Drosophila melanogaster: one gene and its partners. The protein of the gene in region 1 interacts with the protein of each later gene in a pairwise test. Each region holds a gene or a part of one and is shown in the gene's direction. Other genes may lie near its edges. The genes, in order: CG3294, RAF2, Cwc25 and CG9213.

Evidence for each region.
Region 2: the proteins of CG3294 (region 1) and RAF2 interact in a two-hybrid assay, tested with the Drosophila melanogaster proteins (one large-scale study listed by BioGRID).
Region 3: the proteins of CG3294 (region 1) and Cwc25 interact in a two-hybrid assay, tested with the Drosophila melanogaster proteins (one large-scale study listed by BioGRID).
Region 4: the proteins of CG3294 (region 1) and CG9213 interact in a two-hybrid assay, tested with the Drosophila melanogaster proteins (one large-scale study listed by BioGRID).

The regions. Positions count from the first base shown.
Region 1 is NT_033779.5:4,793,063-4,797,299, forward strand, and holds CG3294 (uncharacterized protein), read left to right. Parts: upstream 1-1,595; 5' UTR 1,596-1,609; coding exon 1,610-1,623; intron 1,624-1,690; coding exon 1,691-2,509; intron 2,510-2,780; coding exon 2,781-2,884; coding exon of another isoform or gene 2,885-2,892; exon of another isoform or gene 2,893-2,913; intron 2,914-3,000; coding exon 3,001-3,157; intron 3,158-3,224; coding exon 3,225-3,501; 3' UTR 3,502-3,519; downstream 3,520-4,237. Other genes in the region: fipi (factor of interpulse interval), read right to left, coding at 576-618; slf (schlaff), read right to left, coding at 4,014-4,237.
Region 2 is NT_037436.4:16,384,395-16,391,332, forward strand, and holds RAF2 (RING-associated factor 2), read left to right. Parts: upstream 1-1,932; 5' UTR 1,933-2,176; intron 2,177-2,231; 5' UTR 2,232-2,242; coding exon 2,243-2,562; intron 2,563-2,626; coding exon 2,627-4,954; intron 4,955-5,010; coding exon 5,011-5,226; intron 5,227-5,284; coding exon 5,285-5,483; intron 5,484-5,541; coding exon 5,542-5,790; intron 5,791-5,907; coding exon 5,908-5,949; 3' UTR 5,950-6,422; downstream 6,423-6,938. Other genes in the region: Agpat3 (1-Acylglycerol-3-phosphate O-acyltransferase 3), read right to left, coding at 1,034-1,060; CG44836 (uncharacterized protein), read right to left, coding at 6,728-6,938.
Region 3 is NT_033779.5:2,743,437-2,747,574, forward strand, and holds Cwc25 (Cwc25), read left to right. Parts: upstream 1-1,661; 5' UTR 1,662-1,762; coding exon 1,763-1,780; intron 1,781-1,835; coding exon 1,836-2,058; intron 2,059-2,120; coding exon 2,121-3,445; 3' UTR 3,446-3,508; downstream 3,509-4,138. Other genes in the region: CG9961 (uncharacterized protein), read right to left, coding at 22-1,101, 1,168-1,276, 1,331-1,488; Pgk (phosphoglycerate kinase), read right to left, coding at 3,576-3,816, 3,875-4,138.
Region 4 is NC_004354.4:15,571,576-15,576,668, reverse strand, and holds CG9213 (uncharacterized protein), read left to right. Parts: upstream 1-2,133; 5' UTR 2,134-2,170; coding exon 2,171-3,382; intron 3,383-3,436; coding exon 3,437-4,159; intron 4,160-4,223; coding exon 4,224-4,352; 3' UTR 4,353-4,593; downstream 4,594-5,093. Other genes in the region: CG42299 (uncharacterized protein), read left to right, coding at 1,006-1,060, 1,119-1,612; CG15643 (uncharacterized protein), read left to right, coding at 5,004-5,093.

The DNA.
Region 1 (4,237 bases):
GGGCAAATATTGATAAATACGTAACGACACGACGACGACGAGGAAGACGGAAAACCACAACAACCACATTATGAATACTACTAAAGCTCGTAACTGTCCATCGACCAGACAAGAACATAATAAACACCGTTCATGGGTCCGAAAATAAAACGCAGAACGTAACTCGGAAGAGGTCGCCACATCCTCATCCCCATCCACATCCCCTCCAGAACTCGATGACCACCTCAGCCAATGTAACACTAGAGCAACAAATGCGGTCAAATCGTTTATTATTGAAAATTAAATGCCCCTTTTAGGCGTACAGAAAAAAATTGTAAGTAAAGAACATATTGTTTTAATTTGCGATATATGTTCTTCTTTCTTTAAGTTTATATTTAAGTTATTTAATTGCATTTCAATAAGTGATGGTTACAAAAATCTACTATTACAACTAATATAGCATCTATGGATTGATAGCATCAAATCCAAAAATATTGTTTTCTAAATATCCCTTAATTGCTAGCTTTAGAATCAGGCTATTTTATGTATTTAGATAACATTTGTTTTCTTTTTCTCCCAGTGTAAGAACCACTTACCTGTTAGGGCTGCCAAATTCAGAATAAATCCAATTAGCCGCATTGCGAGAATCTCAACGAATATGAATTTGAATTCCTGTGGTTACTACACAAAAAACCGTGAATATGCTTGCGACCTGATTACGAGTTCAAAGTGCCAGCGGCGCGAATTATTTCATTTATCTAATATCAAGTTGTGCCGCGAGAATTCACATCAATTGTTTTGACTTAGTTTCGCACAACTCAGTTGGTTTTCCGTGAGCCAAGCTCGGCGATTCGGCGCTTGAGCCGGAGTCCAAATTCCGGACTTCGGATTTCGGAGCCGAGCGCAAAAGGAGAGCTCAGAGAGAAAGCCAGGAGAAAGGCTTTCTCTGGCGACACGAAGTGTAGGTGAACCGACGCGCACGAATTTTACTTTATCACTGAATTTGATTTTTTTTCGCATCTTCGGCAATCGCCGGACACAATGTTGCTGGCAACATTGTTGCAGAGGGGAATTTTCGAGTTCGAAAGTTTCTGGTTCGATGGAAGGGGGAATTGAGAAAAAGCTTGAATAAACGGTTCAATTCAAAATATACAAATCTGATAAACAAGAAAATATTCAAACTAAGCGCTTCTATTAAATTTTAAAAGCTCTTCGACACAGTGCTATAAAAATCACATAACATAATTTATAGCAGTGTAAGTTGAACTGAGGCTTTTGGCATTGTGCTATACAGCAATGTTATTTTACATTTTATAGCAAGAACGAAACTTGGTGTTATATTAGACTGTTATAATTTATAATAAATTTTGAATTACAAAAATCGTAAGAATTCGTAAATTTTAAACATTTATGATATGAAATCTTAATTTTGAGGGAAAACTTACAAAACATTTTTGATTTGCCAGATTTATGAAAACTTTGAAAAATATGTAAATGTAAAAATGTAATTTTTTTCGTGCTGCAGTATTTTGTGGTATTTTTCATAGACCCTGTACACGGTATTAATCAGCTGTGTTCTCACAAATGCGTTTCAGCTGCTCACCGAAATTCAATGTTTTGATTTTGCGAAATGCCGGGAAGGAAGTAAATAACTATAAATTTGTTTAAATATAATGTATAATTTAATTTAATGTATATAATTTATACAAAGGGCACGGCGAAAGTTAATCAAGAAGCAGCAGAGGAAGCGGCGTCGTCAAAAACATGCCAAAGAACGTGATAAACTGGAGGAAGAGGCGGAAAACCAAAGACTTATGCAGCCGGAGTACCAGAAATGGTCGCAGGAACAGGAGGAAATGCAGGAATTCCAACGACTAGCCGACGAACGGGAGCGCCAGTTGGCGGAGGAGTCCTGGCTGCGACGCGAAGCCACAGCGCAGCGACAATTCCAAATGGACGAGGCGAAGAAGCGTCAGGAGCAGGAGGAAGTGGAGCGTTTGCAGCGGGAACAGGCGAAAGAGCGGGCGGAACGGGAGGAGAGACAGCGGAAGCAGCGCGAGGAAGAGACACGAAAAGCCGCCAAGGCTGCCGCCGAATTCGATGCCATGATGGAGAGCATGGATGAGTATCTGAACAACCCGCGTATCGAGAAGCCACCCAGCCACCTTCTGCGTGTAATGGAGACGCATCCGGAGGAACGAGCCTGCGAGTTCTTTAGCCGCACCAACTGTTGCCGCTACGGTCACGCCTGCACCTTCAACCATCGCCGCCCGATGCTGGGAAGGATCCTTCTCATCCGGCACTTCTTCAACCATTCCATGCTGCAGAAGCGATGCACGCACAAGGAGTACGCCTCGGCGGAGGAACACCTGGAATTGACCGAACAGGATCTGCGCCACGACTACGATGAGTTCTTCAACGATGTCGTCGAAGAACTGAGAAAGTTCGGCACCATTGTCAACTTCCGCACGGTGCGCAATACGCTGGAACACCTCAGGGGTCACGTCTTTGTGGAGTACACAAACGAACGGTTTGTCTGAGAGTATTAATTATCATTATTATTATTTAATTAATATGACATTGTTTATATGCAAGCAATTCGGATATTCAAATGCAGCCTATTTCCCAGCATTTTCATGTAAAAGTTAATTCATATAATTCACAATTTTAATTTATACCTGTTCTCTCGCCAAAAAATATATATATTGTATTGTCTCTGCGCTTGCATACTTTTATGTTATGTTAATAATGTCTAAAGAGGTCATAAACTAATTATTATAAAGCGTACGTCATGATTTCAGATCTGCACTTCGCGCATTTACCAATCTCCAAGGTCGCTACTACGCCTCCAAGCGACTAAACGTGGAGTTCTCCAATCTGAGGACCTGGCGCGGCGCAGTCTGCGGTACGTGAACTGCATGCCAAGAGGAAGCCGTATCCTTTAAAAAACCAAAACTCAAAGCAAGCCCATTCATATGTTTTAATACCATTTTCTTTAACACAATCTGTGACTTCTTAAAGGTTTGTCCTTAACACGTAAATGTCCCAAAGGTAACGACTGCGGCTATCTGCACCTGTTTGGCAATCCGAACAACCTGTTCAACACGGAACTGGAGTACACCAGCGGTCCACGCAGTGAACGACGCTCCAGCCAAACTCCAACGGCCAAGACACCCAGGTGGATTTAAATATAATATTAGTTTATATTCCGGCAAACTATTTAAATACTTTCCCTATCTCTTCAGTTGGGATGAGCACAGCGAGCACGGCAGGAACTGGCGCTGGTCGGCAAGCCCCGAGGTTGAACTGGAAAACTCCAAGGACTTGGGCAACCGAGGTCGGGATCTCAAAAACAACCAACAGCGGAATCATCATTCCAGGTCAAGAAGTGACCGGAGTTCCGTGCGCTCTAAAAGAGAGCACAGCTCCTCGGGATCTTCACATGACGATCGCAGATCAAAGAGGCATCATCATCATCACAACTCCACAACACCCGATCATCAGCACAACCATTGCCAATAAAAACCAAAGTATTAATTCAAGTGTTTTCTTTTTTATGGGATCTTTACAAAATTTTATTCAATCTCTTTGTGGACAAAACATGAGTGTCTCAAACAAAATACTAAAGAGATTCCGAATTTCTTGCTTGAATGACAGACAGTGGGTCAGAGCGAAACACTTGCAATTTAGGATTGCCTATAAATATTTAAGGTGCGATCTGAAAACGACTCAACTGTTTACAACGGAATAGAATTCTACGCGTAAAATTGGCAGTTTCGAAGGTAGGGAGGAAGGAGAAGTGAGACTAAGTGCTGGGTGCTAAGGTGTGATGAAAGCAGTATTGTGGATTTGGTGGGTGGGTGGTTTTGTGGTGTTTGTAGGATCGGAAATTGTAAATTCTAAAGTCTATTTGTCTTGCTTTCTTCCGTTTTCGTCGTACACATACAAACAAAAATTATACAAAAACTCGTTTAAGGAATATTATAATAAGTAGCTTTAAAATTAGGCAAACAGCGAACGCCCAGCGAGCCGCTCTATAGACGGATGCCGGGATTCGTGGCCGCCACATAGCGCAGCAGCTCCTCGTTGTCCTCACAGATGACGGGCTTCTCGTGGTAGCAGGCCACGTCGTGCCAGGCGATGCCATCGTTGTACACGTTGTTCAACACGGACAGGCACTGCTCCTTGGTCTGGTTGATGTCGTATTCGGCGTTGTCCGGCTGCGGGCGCTTCTTGTGGCCAGTCTGCGACCATGGGT
Region 2 (6,938 bases), on another chromosome or scaffold:
ATATTCGCCAGATATCAGCGGGAGCTATAGCCCATAGCCCTATAGGCTATAGCTTTTGCTAAGGCCGCTGCCGGAGGAGGAATCTAATCAGCCTTGGCCAATCGATGACTTCTCCGTTGGAAATAGCTACAGCCGCTGTGGACAAAGTCCGCCTGTCCGACGGATAGTCATTATGGGGCAGATACTCGCACTTCACAGTGGAAGCTCGCGAAAGTCAATAATCTTTAGAATGAGTGGGTTTATGGGGACCAAAGTGTGCAAACAGTTTAGCAAAAAATTGATGACAGTTAGGTGTCATTTTTTACATTTTGTACATGGAGATGTTTTAAAAAAGTACTAAAGTTTTACGACCGTTTTAATTATGAGTAAAAACGACAACTTTAAAACTTTAAACTAATTAAATCATTTCATTAAGGCGTTTAGCTATTCATATTTCTTATTAAATAATACTTGGCTTCGGATATTTTAGATATTTCAATTTAAGCAAATTTAAATAAGTTTCGAAACGATTTTCGGATTTTAAATAAACTAAAGTAATAGGTATTATATATTGAGATTATTATTTAAATGATCATGATTTACTTAAATTATGATTTAAAACATGTCAGCGGATAAAGTTTATCAAAGAAGTTTTTATTTGTATTTCTACAAAGTTATAAACAATGGTTGTAAAACGACCAATGATAAAGGTCAATCTTTTGTTTTGACACGTAATATAAAACTGGGACTGCATATATTTACATGCACAATGGAACGCACTACGTTTTTGTAATAGAAATGAATGCATTCAGTTGACAAGCACTGCTTTTTTTAAATTTCTTATTTCTTCCTATGATAATGGGATTTAAATCCAATGAAAAAAGGAGTACTTTTCATGCCATTTCTTATGCACACCGCCATTAGCTGAATCAACCGAAAATTCGCCGGGCCGAATTGATTGTATTTTTGATGCACTCAATTGGTGACCCCGACGTTGATTGCTGAACCCATTGTATTGAATTAGTTTACTTTTTCGATCGTCCACTTTACATACAACAAAAGAGTTCTTGTGCACGACCATGCGATTGTGTGCGTGTGAGCATGCATATACGTATGCATGTGCTCAGCTGGCGCACGTGTGCGAGTGTGTGTGTTTGGGAGAGGCGTGGGGTGGCGTGACGTGGTTAACATTTATGGTTATCAGTTCGCGATCTGCAAGGCAATAGCCACCCACAAACGATCAATAAACAAAGTCCTATTTAAAGGTATGTCTATCTGCAGCTGCGCCGTTCTTATCGGTTATTCCCTGTTACGCATATGCACATATATATACAGACACTGTCGGTCGTGCCCTTTGTTTACGAGTGTCACTGGGCGGGAATCGGTTGCTAAACACTGGTCACTACTATATGGTTATCACTCGGCGGCGTCGTGCCCGCCATTTACCTTTTTGGCAATGTTTTTGTGCGAATTGATTTGTTTTCTTTTGTAAGCCAAACGGTATGACCGTTCGAGTGCAATGACGATGACACCGGTGAACAAACGGAAAATCGCCACTTTTGCCTTTAGTATTTTTCAATATTTAATATTTGCCACCAGGGCTGTCAGGTTGCAATGTTGTAAAGGAAATCTGAATAATTTGGCTAACGATCTGCACTACAACTTATAGCTTATTAATGATTGATTTTTGATCTACGCTAACTTTTCCATAAATCAAAAAATGAAACTCTAGTGAGTAACTTATTCTAATATAGTTATTTGGTTTTTAGATATGAAATGACCGAATACCCCGAAACTAGTAATATTTAATAAGATTACTAGATTACTTTAATTTAATAAGATTAAAAATTTGTTTGCTTGGTTTACCTAACTAAGAACTAGTTGGAAGAACATATTTTATTCAGTATTATTTAAAGACTTTCCCAAAAGTGGTTACCCTATTGGTTTGCGTCCATACTAAATGCCTGTCAAAATTATTCGCAGAATTGAACGGCGAATTTTTTTTCGCATTTGGAAATTGGATTTTTGCTGAAAGTAAACGCTTTAAAACTGGTATAAACCCGAATTAGCCTATTTGGGGACTTGGGCCATTGTTTTAAGTGGTTTTCAGCAACTGAAAAGGTGAGCCCGTCGGCGGATTAGAATATTCAACCGGCAGACGATTTTTTGTTGGCCAAAAATTTGCAGACGTGAGCGCGTGAGTTTTTGAGGGGGTTAATGCCAAAAGATGTACATACCTGACCGTCGTCCAGTTGCAGGCCTAATGTCCAACGAGATCTACGACTCCTCCAATTCGCAGCTAAGTAGCGACGAGTATAGCCACGAGGAGGAGGAATACGACGCTCTAATGGACGCGGCGGTGAGCAAGCAACGACCCCAAAAGACAAAATCCAAGGGATCCGAGTCCGAGAAACCCGGAAATGGAGCTCCAGAATCGGCGGCTGCCACTGAGAAAAATGAAAAGCCAGATGACGATGCGGTGCCACCTTCCACGCGCTCAGAAACAATTCGGCGGATCCGGCAATTGCAGTTACAGCGTGGCAGGCTGCCCAATCTTTACTTCAAGCGTCGCAGTATTCGTTGGTAAGGCTTACTTCCCAAAGAACCTACTGAAACTGTAATCCTATCTTATCCGATCACACTTCAGGCTGCGACCCAATAAAATGGACTACAACAGCTATTTTGACGGCCTGAAGGACTTGCTGCCCAAGCGTAAATTGAAGCACCTGGTTCGCTTCCATGACAGGCAGCGCAGAACCTACGACAGCAGGAGCATCAGTCGTAGTCGCAGCCACAGCCGCAGTCTTAGCCGAAGTTGCAGTCGCAGTCGTAGTCGTAGCTATTCTCGCAGCCGCAGCGGCAGTGGTTCGCCGGAACTCATTTGCCTTGACGACACGGAGAACGAGGATTCGCCTGAGAAACCAGAGCAAGAGCCGGCAAGGGTTACGCCCATCAAGGAAAATAAGCCTACGCTTCCGGCTCCACCCCAACTAAACTACGAGCTGCCAGAAAGGAAGAAAGCAAACCCACTTGGAAACAACGAAAACGGTGCCTCTATCCTCGACGAGTTCCTGGTAAAGAAGGATCCCCAGGAACCGGTCTTCGACTACGGTAAACTCTCAGCGTGTCGGGAATTGGAACAGGCTCTAAAGGACCGGTCGCGAGATGCGCCAAATGAGGCAGAGTCGCTTGTGGTTGATGCCACTCTTAAAAGACGCCGTTCGGTAACACCGCCCGCTAGCGAAGAGAAGCGCAACAATGAAGTCGAGGATGATAATATAATTGGGTTTTCAACGGTGCAGCAACAGAAGCCAATGGAGGCAGCTCCACCATTAAATCTAAGAATGCCCACCACTCCATCGACTAATCCTCTTCAGCGTCAGCAGGCTTTTAAGCTGAGCACACCGTATACCCTGGCTCCGCCTACTGCCGCCAAGCAAGCTGACACTTACAGTTTAAATACTCCACCGCCAACGGCCACCCAAATGCAGATATCCTATCCCAACGAAAAGCTGTCAAATAACATGAAAGCTAATGCGACTTTCTCGATTCAACAGACAGCTTTATCCCAAGTCGCTGCATCCTATGCTGCTGCACCACAAGTGGCTGCCCTCGCGCAGAGAGCTCCATCTCAGGTTGCTCCACTACAACAAGCCCCCGTGCAACAGATGCACTTCCCAAGATCAGTTCCACCGCAGCAGCTTCCTCCACCACAGCAGCGAGCTCCTCCACAGCAACTGGCTACAGCTCCATTCGCTCCACCACGGCACCTGGCTCAACATAGACCATCTCCACAGCAGCTAGCTCCATCACAGCAGCTGGCTCCACCACACCAGCTAGCTCCACCACACCAGCTAGCTCCACCACAGCAGCGAGCTCCGCCACAGCAGCTAGCTCCACCACACCAGCTAGCTCCACCACACCAGCTAGCTCCACCACAGCAGCGAGCTCCGCCACAGCAGCTAGCTCCGCCACAGCAGCTAGCTCCACCACAGCAGCTAGCTCCACCACAGCAGCTAGCTCCACCACAGCAGCTAGCTCCACCACAGCAGCGAGCTCCGCCACAGCAGCGAGCTCCGCCACAGCAGCTGGCTCCGCCACAACAGCGAGCTCCCACACAGCATATGGCTCCACCACAACATATGGCTCCGCCACAGCAGCTAGCTCCAACACAGCAGCTAGCTCCTCCACCACAGCAGCTAGCGCCTCGACCACAGCAGCTAGCTCCTCCACCACAGCAACTAGCTCCTCCACCACAGCAGCTAGCTCCTCCACCACAGCAGCCAGATTCATCAAGACCAGCTTCGGTGCAGCCGTTGACCCCTCAAAGGCATGCTAGTCCACATCAGCTTGCCCAATCACAGCAGGTCCATCAATCGCCATCTCAACTGCATCCTGTTCCAGTGGCTGCTCCCAACTTTGCGGTGCCCCAACAGCCGCAACCCCGTCGATCGGAAACGGTGAGCACCCAGACGCAGGGCTTGGGGTCACCAGCGGCTTCTTCTTCGACAACCCGCCAAAAGTCATTCGTTGATCTCAATAATAGTGATGCAAACTTCCATTATCGCGTCAAAGAACTTTTCGATGAATTGAACTCGACAATGATTGATAAAATTAACTCGGTACCCCCTGATGAAGATTCATTGAAAAAAGAGCGCGAACGCATCGTTGCGGATCTTGCAGCCCTAGATAAGCTGATGGCCCAGAAAGAGGATGAATATAACCGACTGCTGTATTTGAGCTGCATTAAGAAGGAGCTGCATGAACGAATGGAGCGAAAGGAGCGCTTGATACGTATTAAGGACCTACTGCCCATCCTTATCAACAAGTGCGGCACCAAGGAGCTCAGTGAGGTAAAGGCTATGCTAGAAGAGGAAATCGATTCTCCAATGGCCTCCAAACATAGTTTGTCGGCAATTGAAAAATTACTGAATTACGCCGAGTTAAACCAGAACATCATACAGCTTCTGCGGGGGTAAATCTTTAAATGTTTAATTCTGAGAATCCCAAGTTAAAATTGATCGTTTTCAGTTCCTTGGGCTTAAATAAACGCGCACCGTCCGTGTCTCCGGCCAATTTCGAGGATGACCAAATGCTTTTTCGTAGAGATTCCTTGCCCGTAAGTCATCTATCAATGCGGGATCAGCATTACGAATCTCGGAATGCGGTAAATGACCATCTGCTAGATAGCAATCCAGACAGAGATCCGCCAGCCAAGCGACCGAAGCTAATCCACTCGCAAGACAGGTGAGAAAATACAAATAATATACTAGAACATATTATTTTAACGTCATATAATTTATAGTAACCAGGACATGGCAAGCTCCTCGACACATTTGTCAGCCAATCTTTCAGAGACGCTTCGCAAGATTAGGGCTTGGAAAAATTATTCGCATTTTAGTAACGTCTCAATGGAGGACAATAATTCGGATAATGAATCACAGATCGAACCGCTGTTCAACAGCAGTCCGATGGCCTCCCGTCGCCAACTGGCCAATAGACAGGTATGCACTTAATCACAATATTTTTTGACATTCCGCGAAAATAAATGTTTCTATTCAGTCCTACCAAGAACAACATTCCGCTAATATCAACGACCATGAGAATGTCCAAAAGAGGCACAAGTCTCACAAGCGCAAGTCGCATAAGCACAAGTCTCACAAGCATAGGAGCTCCCATAAGTCCCAGGCTGAATCTTCCGCCACCATCAACGGTAACACAGGTAGACAATGCCACGAGTGCAAGCTCTATGGAGCCACCTTTATGTGCTCCAACTGTCAGAATCAATGGTACTGCAGTCGTGAATGCCAGGTAAGCATTGTAGGATTTATTATGTATTTTATGCATTTTTTTAAATTGTTTTATCCAGTGACGCATTGAAGGAAAAGTACTCATGTTTACCTATCTTTTATAATACATTCGTTATAGCTGAGCGATTGGGACACACATCACCGAACTTGTGGCATTTAAATAGACTTCACTTAGGACATCAGCATTACTAAAACATAACTATATAGACGTATCGCATATGCACTACTATATATTTACTCAACCGTGTAACTCACTGAAGGACACAGGACACTGGCGGACCATTTTCAATTGCGTTTTATTGAATTAAGTGCTTGCAATTGTACTCAATCAATGAAGCACAATTTAAAGTGTAATATGCCTAGCTATTATAAGTTGGTAGGGATTAAATATAATAATTATAATTCCTTAATAATTGATTCCAATTTGCTTATGAACAACGCGCGAAATTCATTTTGTTTCAAAATCGTATTGATAAAATGTTCCTCGTTTTCCCACTTTTTTTGTTTGAAAATTAAATATCCTTGACTTCTTGTTTGCTACATAAAAGATATCTATTTAAGAATTAATATATTTATTTTCTGTTTCTTTGGATGTAATTCCATGCTAAAGGCAAAATAAACAAGTTCATATTTATTTACAAGCACTTATTATTTAATTTTTGGGAAGACTATTGAACCAAAAAGTATTAGTTCAACAAAATAAAGAAAATGATGAGACGTTTTAATACAATAATAGAAAGTGTTTTAAAATTGGTACTTATAAAATATAAAATTTTACCGTTTGCAGAACTGGTTGGCTTGGTCTATCGATAAATGGCGCCAAGTTTATTGTTCAAATTTCAAACAGAATTTTCTGTGAAATTCGACTAAACTTTGATAACATATAATTCGTATAATGGAATTTTTTCAGATCATTTAGGGCTTTGCCATCGCCTCATTTATTTACTGCGCCTGCGCACCTGGCACATCAGTTTGATGTCATTTATATGCAGCCGGAGTGGCTGCCTCCTGGACCACGGACCACGTCTCAGTTTCCGGATGCGCAGCTGCCGGCTGCAGTAGAGCCGGAATTTCAGATTCGGATTCCAGACGGCACCGGCCGAGGCGGAGGGCGTGACGCACTTGTAGGCATATTGCCACCATAATCGA
Region 3 (4,138 bases), 2.0 Mb from region 1:
AACCATTGTAAAGCAGTGCGTTTAGGCATCCGAAAGAGCAGCCACTCCAGGCAGAACCTTACCCTCCAGCAACTCCAGGGAAGCTCCTCCACCGGTGGACACATGCGAGACCTTGTCGGCGCCTCCGAACTTCAAGCAAGCGGTGGCCGTATCCCCACCACCAACGATTGTGGTGGCTCCTCGGTTAGTGGCCCCGATTACTGCCTCCAGCATGGACTCGGTGCCTTTGGAGAATAGCTCGTTTTCGAACAAGCCTGGCGGTCCGTTCCAGACGATGGTTTTGGATGCACAAATAGCGCCAGCAAACATCTGACTGGATGCCTGGCCGTGGTCCAGACCCATCATGTCCTCCGGTATGCCCTGTGTGGCATCCACATGTTCCACTTTATCCGGCTCCTTGTCGATCTTATTGGCTATGACAAAGTCAATCGGAAATAGTATATTCACGTCCTTCTCCTTCGCCTTGCAGACTATGTCGTTGACCAACTCGGATCCCTTCTCGTCGAAGAGGGACTTTCCAATCTCCATGCCATTGAGCACTTTGAGAAAGGTGAAGGCCATGCCACCGGATATGATCATGGCCGTTACATTGTTCAGGAGGTTCGTTATCAGTGGAATTTTATCGGCTATCTTGGCGCCACCCAGAATGGCCAAAAAGGGCTTGGCCGGATCGTGGAGAACCTTGGCAAAGTACTCCAGTTCCTTGTCCAGCAGGAAACCAGCCGCTCGCACCTTGTAGCCATCGCCCATCATGGAACTATGCGGACGATGTGCTGTTCCAAAGGCATCGTTCACATAGATCTCGCCCAGCTGCGCCAACTTGGCTCGGAATTCCTTCACCTTCGCGGGATCTGCTTTGACCTTCTTCTTGTTATCGTCCTTGCTGCTGCCCGTCTCCTCGGCATAGAAACGAAGATTCTCCAACAGGAACACAGTGCCGTCGGAGGGATCCTTCAAAGCTCTCAGGGTGCTATCACCCACGCAGTCGTCCAGGAATTGAACCGGCTGGCCCAGCACACTCTCCAGCTCCTTGGCCACGGGTTCCAGGCTAAACTTTTTGTTCTTTTTGCCATCCGGACGCCCCAAGTGGGATGCCAAAACCTAGGCAAAAAATTAAGTTATTCGTTCTATACTTTTTAGGAATTGAAGGAAGATATATCAACTCACCAAGGACTTACATTTCTTGTCCAAGGCATATTTAATACTGGGAAGTGCGGAAACAATTCGTTGGTTGTTGGTTATTTTGCCATCTTTCATGGGTACATTAAAGTCCACTCTAAAAATAAATTTATAAATCACACACTAAAACATATCTGGCAAGGATACTCACCTCATAAAAACCCTTTTCCCAGCCACATCTACATTTTTTAAGCTCAACTTCTTTACTTGCTTTCCATTGCAATCGTCTTTGCTAAAAAATCTTGGAAATCTTAATTTTGTAAATCGAGTTTGAGCTCTTTGGTATAAACTCTGCCGAATTGGAAGCATATTAAATAAATTTATTACCTGTTTTTGACTGAAAATACAATGCACGATGAGGAAGTAATTATGAAAATAAGTAACTAAATTAACTATTTTCAATAATTTTCGAAAAAGTAAAAGAAAAATGTAACCCTATGGCAACACCAAGTTAAATTACTTCACCACGATCTGGCAGCCCGGGCGAACATATGATTTTGTTGAAAACAACAGAAAAGGAGGGAAAATCTGGAATTGTTTGTAATTTGTTTGTTTTGCTGTTAAAACGCAAATCAAACCCAAGATGGGTGGCGGAGATCTAGTAAGTAATGTCTCCCAACTGATTATCCGTCAATTACCATTGATTTTTCCCGCAGAATCTGAAGAAATCATGGCATCCGCACACGATGAAAAACCAGGAGCGCGTTTGGAAGGCGGAGGAGCAAGCGAAGATGGAGGAGCGCAAGCTGCAGGATCTGCGCAAGGAGATCAACGAGGAGCGGGACAGAGAGGAACTAAGGCGATTGGGCGAAAGTTCCGGAGTGCTGAGCAATAATGGCGGAGCCGCCGGCGAGGCCAAGCTGGAGTGGATGTACAAAAGTGAGTCATACATGTGAAACTCTTATAAAACTCATTATCCATACATATTTATCTTGCTCCAGACAGCACAGAGCTGATCAACCGCGAGGAGTACCTCCTGGGCCGTAAGATCGACAAGTCCTTTGAGACGCTGCAAGCGGAGGAAAGCCGCCAGGAGCAGAACACAGTGGGTCTCAAGCAAACGATCAACCATGTGGAGCACGACTGTGTGCCCTTCTCCATCCGGACCTACCGCAATGTGCAGTCCAACGAACAGGTGGACATACAGCGCAAGACCCTCGAGGATCCCCTGATGCTCATCAAGCAGCGCGAAATGGAATCCCGTCGAAAGCTGCTTGAGAACCCCGTCAAGCTGAAGGAAATCCATCGCATTCTCAAGACTGAACAGGAACAAAAGGCCGCAGAGGGAAAGAAGAAGAACAAGAAGAACAAAAAGTCTAAGAAATCCAAAAAGAAGAAGAAGAACCGACGATCCAGCAATGAGGAAAGTAGTGACAGCGAGAGCAATGATAGCGACGATGACTTGGACAGAAAATTAGCCCGCCAAGTGAGCAAACTCAAGGGAGACCAAGGTGACCTTAAACTGGACAAGCTGCTGGACGCCAAGTACCGCACCATTTCAAATCAATTAGACATGGCCACCAAGAAGAAAAAGAGCAAGAAATCCAAGAAGAAGAAAAGCAGCGATAGCAGTGACGAAAGTAGTGACGAAGAGGAAGAGCCAAGGAGAAAGCACAAAAGGAGCCACAGCTCAGAGGACAGAAATCAGCGAGAAAGACGCAGGAGTAGAAGCCCCCGGGATAGAAAAAAGCGACAGAGTAGAAGTCCGGAACAAAGGCAAAGGCAAAGGAGTCCAGAAGAGAGAAGGGAAAGGCGCAGGAGCAGGAGCAGAAGTCCCTTAGCGAGAAGACAGAGAAGAACCAGGAGCCCAGAGGACAGAAAAGCCAGACGTCAAAGCAAGGACACTTCAAAGCAGCGCGAGAAACGCAGGAGTAGGACACCTGAAGAGCGTTCCAGATCAAAACGCAGCAGGAGCCGAAGTTCCAAAGGAGATGACAAGCGAAGGATTGCCGAAAGACCGCCTCCCAGCCGTCCCACCGGCAAGCCAAAGTTAAGCGAAGCCGACCGAGAAGCTCGCCTGCGCGAAATGATGGACAACGCCACTTGGAGAGAAGCGGATCGCAGCCAGGTGGTTCGCAAGCACCGAGAAGCATACGCGCGCGAGGAGGCCCAAAATCGTGAACGAGACTTCGACAAGGAGTTCATTAACAAGGAGGTGAAGAAGGCCATTGCCAACCATAACTCAATTGGCGATCGCATCCGGGCCAATCTCAACAACATACAGCGCACCGCCTCCTCAATGGACAGCAACTTTGCCCGCAAATAAACTAGGATTCCTTTATTTCGTATGCATTATATGGTTCCGCAACAAATAGATTCAACACTTTTTAACGTCGTGGTTTGTGCTTACAAGGTAAACGATGCGATTAACATTAATATACCGTATATATGTACGCTTAGGCGCTGGTCAATGCAGCCACGCCTGGCAGTGTCTTGCCCTCCAGGAGCTCCAGCGAAGCGCCGCCTCCGGTGGAGACGTGCGAGACGAGTGCCTCCGTGTTCCACTTGGCGCAGCAAGAGGCAGTGTCGCCGCCGCCGATGATGGAGACGGTGCCGTTCTTGGTGGCGGCCACCACGCCGTCCATGATGGACTTGGTGCCGTTGGCGAAGTTGGGGAACTCAAAGACACCGGGGGGTCTAAAATGGGAAAACCATTATAGGACATTTGGAGAAGTAGCTTCAGTGTGACACCTACCCGTTCCACACGATGAGCTTGGCGCGTGCGATGGGTGCCGCGAAGAGCTCACGGGTCTTGGGACCCACATCCAGACCCATGTGTCCATCGGGAATTCCGGCCTCCACGGTGGCCTCGCTGACGGCAGCGTTCTCGGCGAACTTGTCGCCGCAGACAAAGTCCACTGGCAGATGCAACTGCACGTTATTCTTCTTGGCCTTCTCCACCAGTTTCTCGACGATCTTGGAGCCCTCCTCGTCGAACAGGGAACCGCCGATCTTCATG
Region 4 (5,093 bases), on another chromosome or scaffold:
ATGGGCCAGCTGTTGGCGACTTGCGCTGGAAATCTCTACAAATAACGAAGAATCTATCGGGAGCGGTGAACGGAATAATGAAATCGGTGAGCTCTATGAAGAATCGTAGGACTTCATTGTTTCGTTTAGAAAACCTATCAACTTGTATGCGTAAAGCATTTTCTTGAAATGGTCATCTTAAAAATGCTGTGCTTTGCAAATAGTTAAGTATTATCCGCTCGGATATGTGAATCAACTGAGGTCCTCACGCCAAATTATAAATGTGACTTGTAGACTGCAAAGTCATCGCCTTCTTTTTTGAGTTCTTGACACAAGCAAAAAGGGTTGCCATGGCGTTGTCATGCCCTTGGAGATAAAACCTCTAGACTCAAATATTCTTATTATGTTCCGCTGACATAATAAGTATTAGTGTTTTTATTTCATAATAAATTATGCAATTTACAGCATCGGAAATTGGTAGCTTCAGTATAATATTATCAAATATATTCAGTTTTATACCCGTTACTCGTGAAAGGGTATAGTAGATTTGTTAAAAAGTATGTAACTGGCAGAAGAAAGCGTTTCCGACCATATAAAGTATATATATTCTTGATCAGGAACAATAGCCGAGTCGATCTGATCATGTCCGTATGAACGCCGAAATCTGAGGAACTATAAAAGCTAGAAGGTTGAGATTAACCATACAGATTCTAGAGACATAGACGCAGCGCATGCCCATATTGCCACGCCCACTCTAATGCCCACAACCCAACAAAATAAAATAAATAAAAAACTTCCCCATGTTCAAAATTCTACCGATCCGCCATCTGCACTAACTGACCGACGCTAACTCACCTACGCTAACTTGACGCACATCACGATTATTAACGGTTCTCAAAAGAACGATTACACCCTCGATAGGCTGCCTGTCGAAATTATCGGTCCTAGCTTAACCGAAGCGTCAGTCTTGACATTTCGATCTAAATATTCTGGATTTGCAATTTGAAAAGCGTCTGAATAAAATTTATGATCAAAATGGACCCGAAATCCCACCAAAAGCTCTTCAGGGAAATGGCAGAAGGTGAGCCATGTGACAAACCGAGACATCTTTAACATCTTTAAAACACACCCACCCACAGTCGTGTCCAATTCCAGCGATGACGGGGAGAAGTTGCTAACCAAAAACTCTAGCAACACCATCGAGAAGTCCGAGGAAGTCTGCAAGGAGCGCCCCGAAGCTGTGGAGCAGATGCGCATCGATGTCAATAACTCACTTGAGGACACGAACTACATGAATGCGGTGGAATCAGAAGCTCAAAAGAATATCGCCGGCCTTGATGAGGACCTTATCATGGAAGACTTCGGCGTCGAGGTCGTCCCGTTCCACGATCCCTGGTCCAAGCTCCTGATAAAGCACCCCGTGCGCAACAAAAGGTGCGGTCATATCTACGACCGCGAAACGGTTTTAATGATCATCAAGGACAACATTGGCATCCTATGCCCGGTGCGCGACTGTCCCAACTTGTCCGACATCAAGTTAGAGCACCTGGTCAAGGACCCCGACGTGGAGCAGGAGTTGCAAAAGCGCAAGTCCGACAAGATCAAGAATGAAACTTCCTCGGATGAGGACTAAGAACAGGCAGGTCATTAATTATATATAAAAAGCGCCTTTAAACTTTAGATTTTAATATGACTTCAAGTCTTGTTGAGAATTAACTTTATAAATAAAAAACACTCCTTTGGAATTTTTTGATACTTTTTTATACCCGTTGTAAAGTTAAAGGCTATACTAGAATTGTTGAAGTGTATGTAACAGGAAGATGGAAACGTTTCCGACCATATGAAGTATATATATTCTTGATTAGGATCAATAGCCGAGTCGATCTTTTCATGTCCGTATGAGCGCCAAAATTTCAGGAATTATAAAAGCTAGAAGGTTGAGATTCACCATACAGATTCTAAAATTAAAATTAAATTAAATTTATTAAATTTCGCTTTCGCATTCACACTAGCCGAGTAACGGGGAATTTGACTATATCATTCTCTCTTGTTGTATATTGCAATCAACTTTTCAATAGTGAGTTAAGCGATATGTCTGTTATTCAGTAGTGACTTAAGCGATATCACTGTTGTGCATATTTGTCCATCTCTAACACTAATGTTTTGGTAAACAAGAAGAACCAAATTAGACATGAGCTACATACAATTTGAAAGCGGCAGAGAAAAGGATAAGGCGCGCCAGGAGCTCCGGGAGGCCCGGGAGGCGATGCTGCAGCAGGCCAAGGAGCGGGCGGAACTGCGTGGGCAGCGGGAGAGGCAGAAGGAGCTGCGCGGCGAAGCCGACTGGATGCTGCCCGCGTTGGCCAAGAAACTGGAGAAGCCCGCCAAAAAGTCAAAGAAGAATGTTTCCAAGCACAAGTCCAGGTCCAAGTCCAAGTCATCGAAGAAGAGCAGGAAGCACCGCAACAGCAGCAGTAGCAGCGAAAGTTCCACTTCATCTTCCTCCTCGTTCAGTGAGGATGAAAAGGAGCGCAAGCGACGCAAGAAGAAGTCCAAGAGGAGCCGTAAGGAAAGCGCCAGCGAGGACGAGTGGGTGGAGGCTCCTCCGCCTCTCGCGGCGGACAATGTCACTAAGAAGGAGCCCCCTCAGCGGGACGACTGGATGACCAGCGAGTCTCTCCTTCTGAAGACGTTCTCCAGGGAACGCAAGGAGCCAGCGAAGCCCAACGAGAAGGCCCAACAAATTGATGCCTACGATCCGGCCAAGAGTGGCCGTGAGCTCAATCCCTACTGGAAGAGCAATGGCACGGGTCTGCCCGGTTTCCAGAAGCCACAGGACGACGATGAACGGCAGGCCAAGCCGCATTCCAGCAGCTCCGCACAGGGATCCTCACGCGGTTGGCGAAAACCAGGCGCAAAGGCTCCCAGTCCGCCCAGAAGAAGCAGATCCCGCTCCAAAAGTGCCACATCATCTGATGAGGAGGAGGAGGAGGCGGTGCAGCAGCCCAAGTCCAGACCATCCTGCCTCACAGACGAACAGATCAATGAGCTGGCCGGCAAGGCCATCAAGGCAGAGCTCAAAGGAAAGAAAGAACTGGCGGCGGAACTCAATCAGCAATTGGAGGCCGCACGGAAGGAGCGAGCAGAGTTCATTGCCTCCGGCGAGTCAGTGCGGAATGCAAATACCAGGCCAGCCAAGTCCAAGGCCTCAGCAGAGCACGTGCTGCTCACCAAGGTGGACCAGAGCGGCAACGTGCGTCCGCTGGTGCAGTCCGGCGATCCGAACGAATCGTACGGTGGCAGGATGGGACCAAAACGCGGCAGCAAGAAAGTGGACACCCACGTGGATGGTCAGCGTGTAAGATACTTTGCCGATGATGACCGCTACGATATTAAGCAAATGGTAAGTTCAACTTTCAAAAGCAAATACTAAATAGTAACATATTTTAACCTCCAGTTCGAGCGGGAAAAACACGCCACAGCCGCAGAAGTCAATCTCCAGTATGCCGACATTGTGTCCAAGCACAAGAATCCCAACGATGACTTGGATGACATATTCGCTGATAAGGTGCGCAAACAGATCTCAGCCAGCGATGCTGAAAAGCGGGAGATGCAGAGCGCCATTAGGGAGCACGAGAAACTGGTGGCCACGCTGGACAACTGCGAGCGGTGTTTTGACTCCGCCAAGTTGGACAAACAGCTGCTCGTTTCCCTGGGCGATAAGATCTATCTCAGTTTGCCGTGGTACATGGGCCTCCAGAGCGGTCACTGCATTCTGACGACCCTGCAGCATGTACCCTGCTGCACGCAACTAGACGAAGATGCCTGGGAGGAGATAAGCAACTTCCGTAAGGCACTCACCCGCATGTTCGCTGCCCGGCGCCAGGATGTCGTCTTCTACGAGATTGCCAACAAGCTGCACCGTCGGCCGCATCTCAGCGTCCACTGCATCCCAATTCCCGCCAGCCAAGGAGAGATGGCGCCCTTCTACTTCAAGAAAGCCATCGAGGAATCGGAGCAGGAGTGGTGCATCAACAAGCAGCTGGTCTCGCTGCGCCAGAAGTCCCTGCGGGCGGCCATTCCCAAGGGCCTGCCCTACGTATGGGTTCACTTCGGCATGGATTCGGGCTTCGCGCACGTCATCGAGGACGAGGATCGATTTCCGGCTAACTTTGCCCAGGTTCGTTGGCATTGCTTGCTCTTATTTGACTCATTTGTATGCTGATTGCACTATATACTTTCAGGAAATCCTCGGCGGAATGCTGGAGTTAAATCCCAATGCTTGGCGAAAGCCGCGAAAGGAGGCAAACCCCATCGGAAAGGTGAAATCCTTTGCTGAAAACTGGAAGAAATTTGATTGCACACAGAACTAGAAAAATGCATTGTAAAAATCAGATATCCCAAGATCATTTAAAGTCAGAAAAATGTAATATATATTTTTATATACATTAGAAAAACCGTTTCAATTTGCATTTTTTTTATAAAAATAAATTTCAAATTATGAAACGTCGATAGCACTAATCGATTTGTATTTCCCCCCGTCAGTATTTCGCAACACTGGTAAACAGCTGATTGAAATAAATAAATATTTAGGAATTTGTTTTTGTGCTTGCTAACGAATTTCGCTTCCATTTATTGCAAGAAAAAAAAAAAAAACAAAATAATACAAATAGAGGCATAGTGGGCCAGTAACTGATTGCACACCATGCTGCAACGCAGAGAAAAGAGAGCTCCCCCTTTCAATTTGAAGAGATCTTTTTCCAACGAGGAAGTTGCCTAGAAAAGTTCATCAACAATCCAGGAAAATTTCATCAGTTCAGTTCTGAGTGAAAAGTGCACCGACACTGCAACTGGATGTAATCACGATCAGCAGAAGTAGCTGAAGTCATCCGAGGAGTGACAGCACCCAATGCCCCAGTAGCATTCAAACTGAAAAATTCCCCGATTGTGGCCACTGCCATGTCCGTGTCCCAGGAGAATTACACCCGGCGGGAGCTGTGATGGAGCGCTAGGTATTGGCCAGGATGTGGCCAGCCGCCCTGACACGCCTGCTGAGACGCCGGATTGTGTACATCGTGCTGGTGGTACTGCTGCTCATCTACGGATTCGGACAC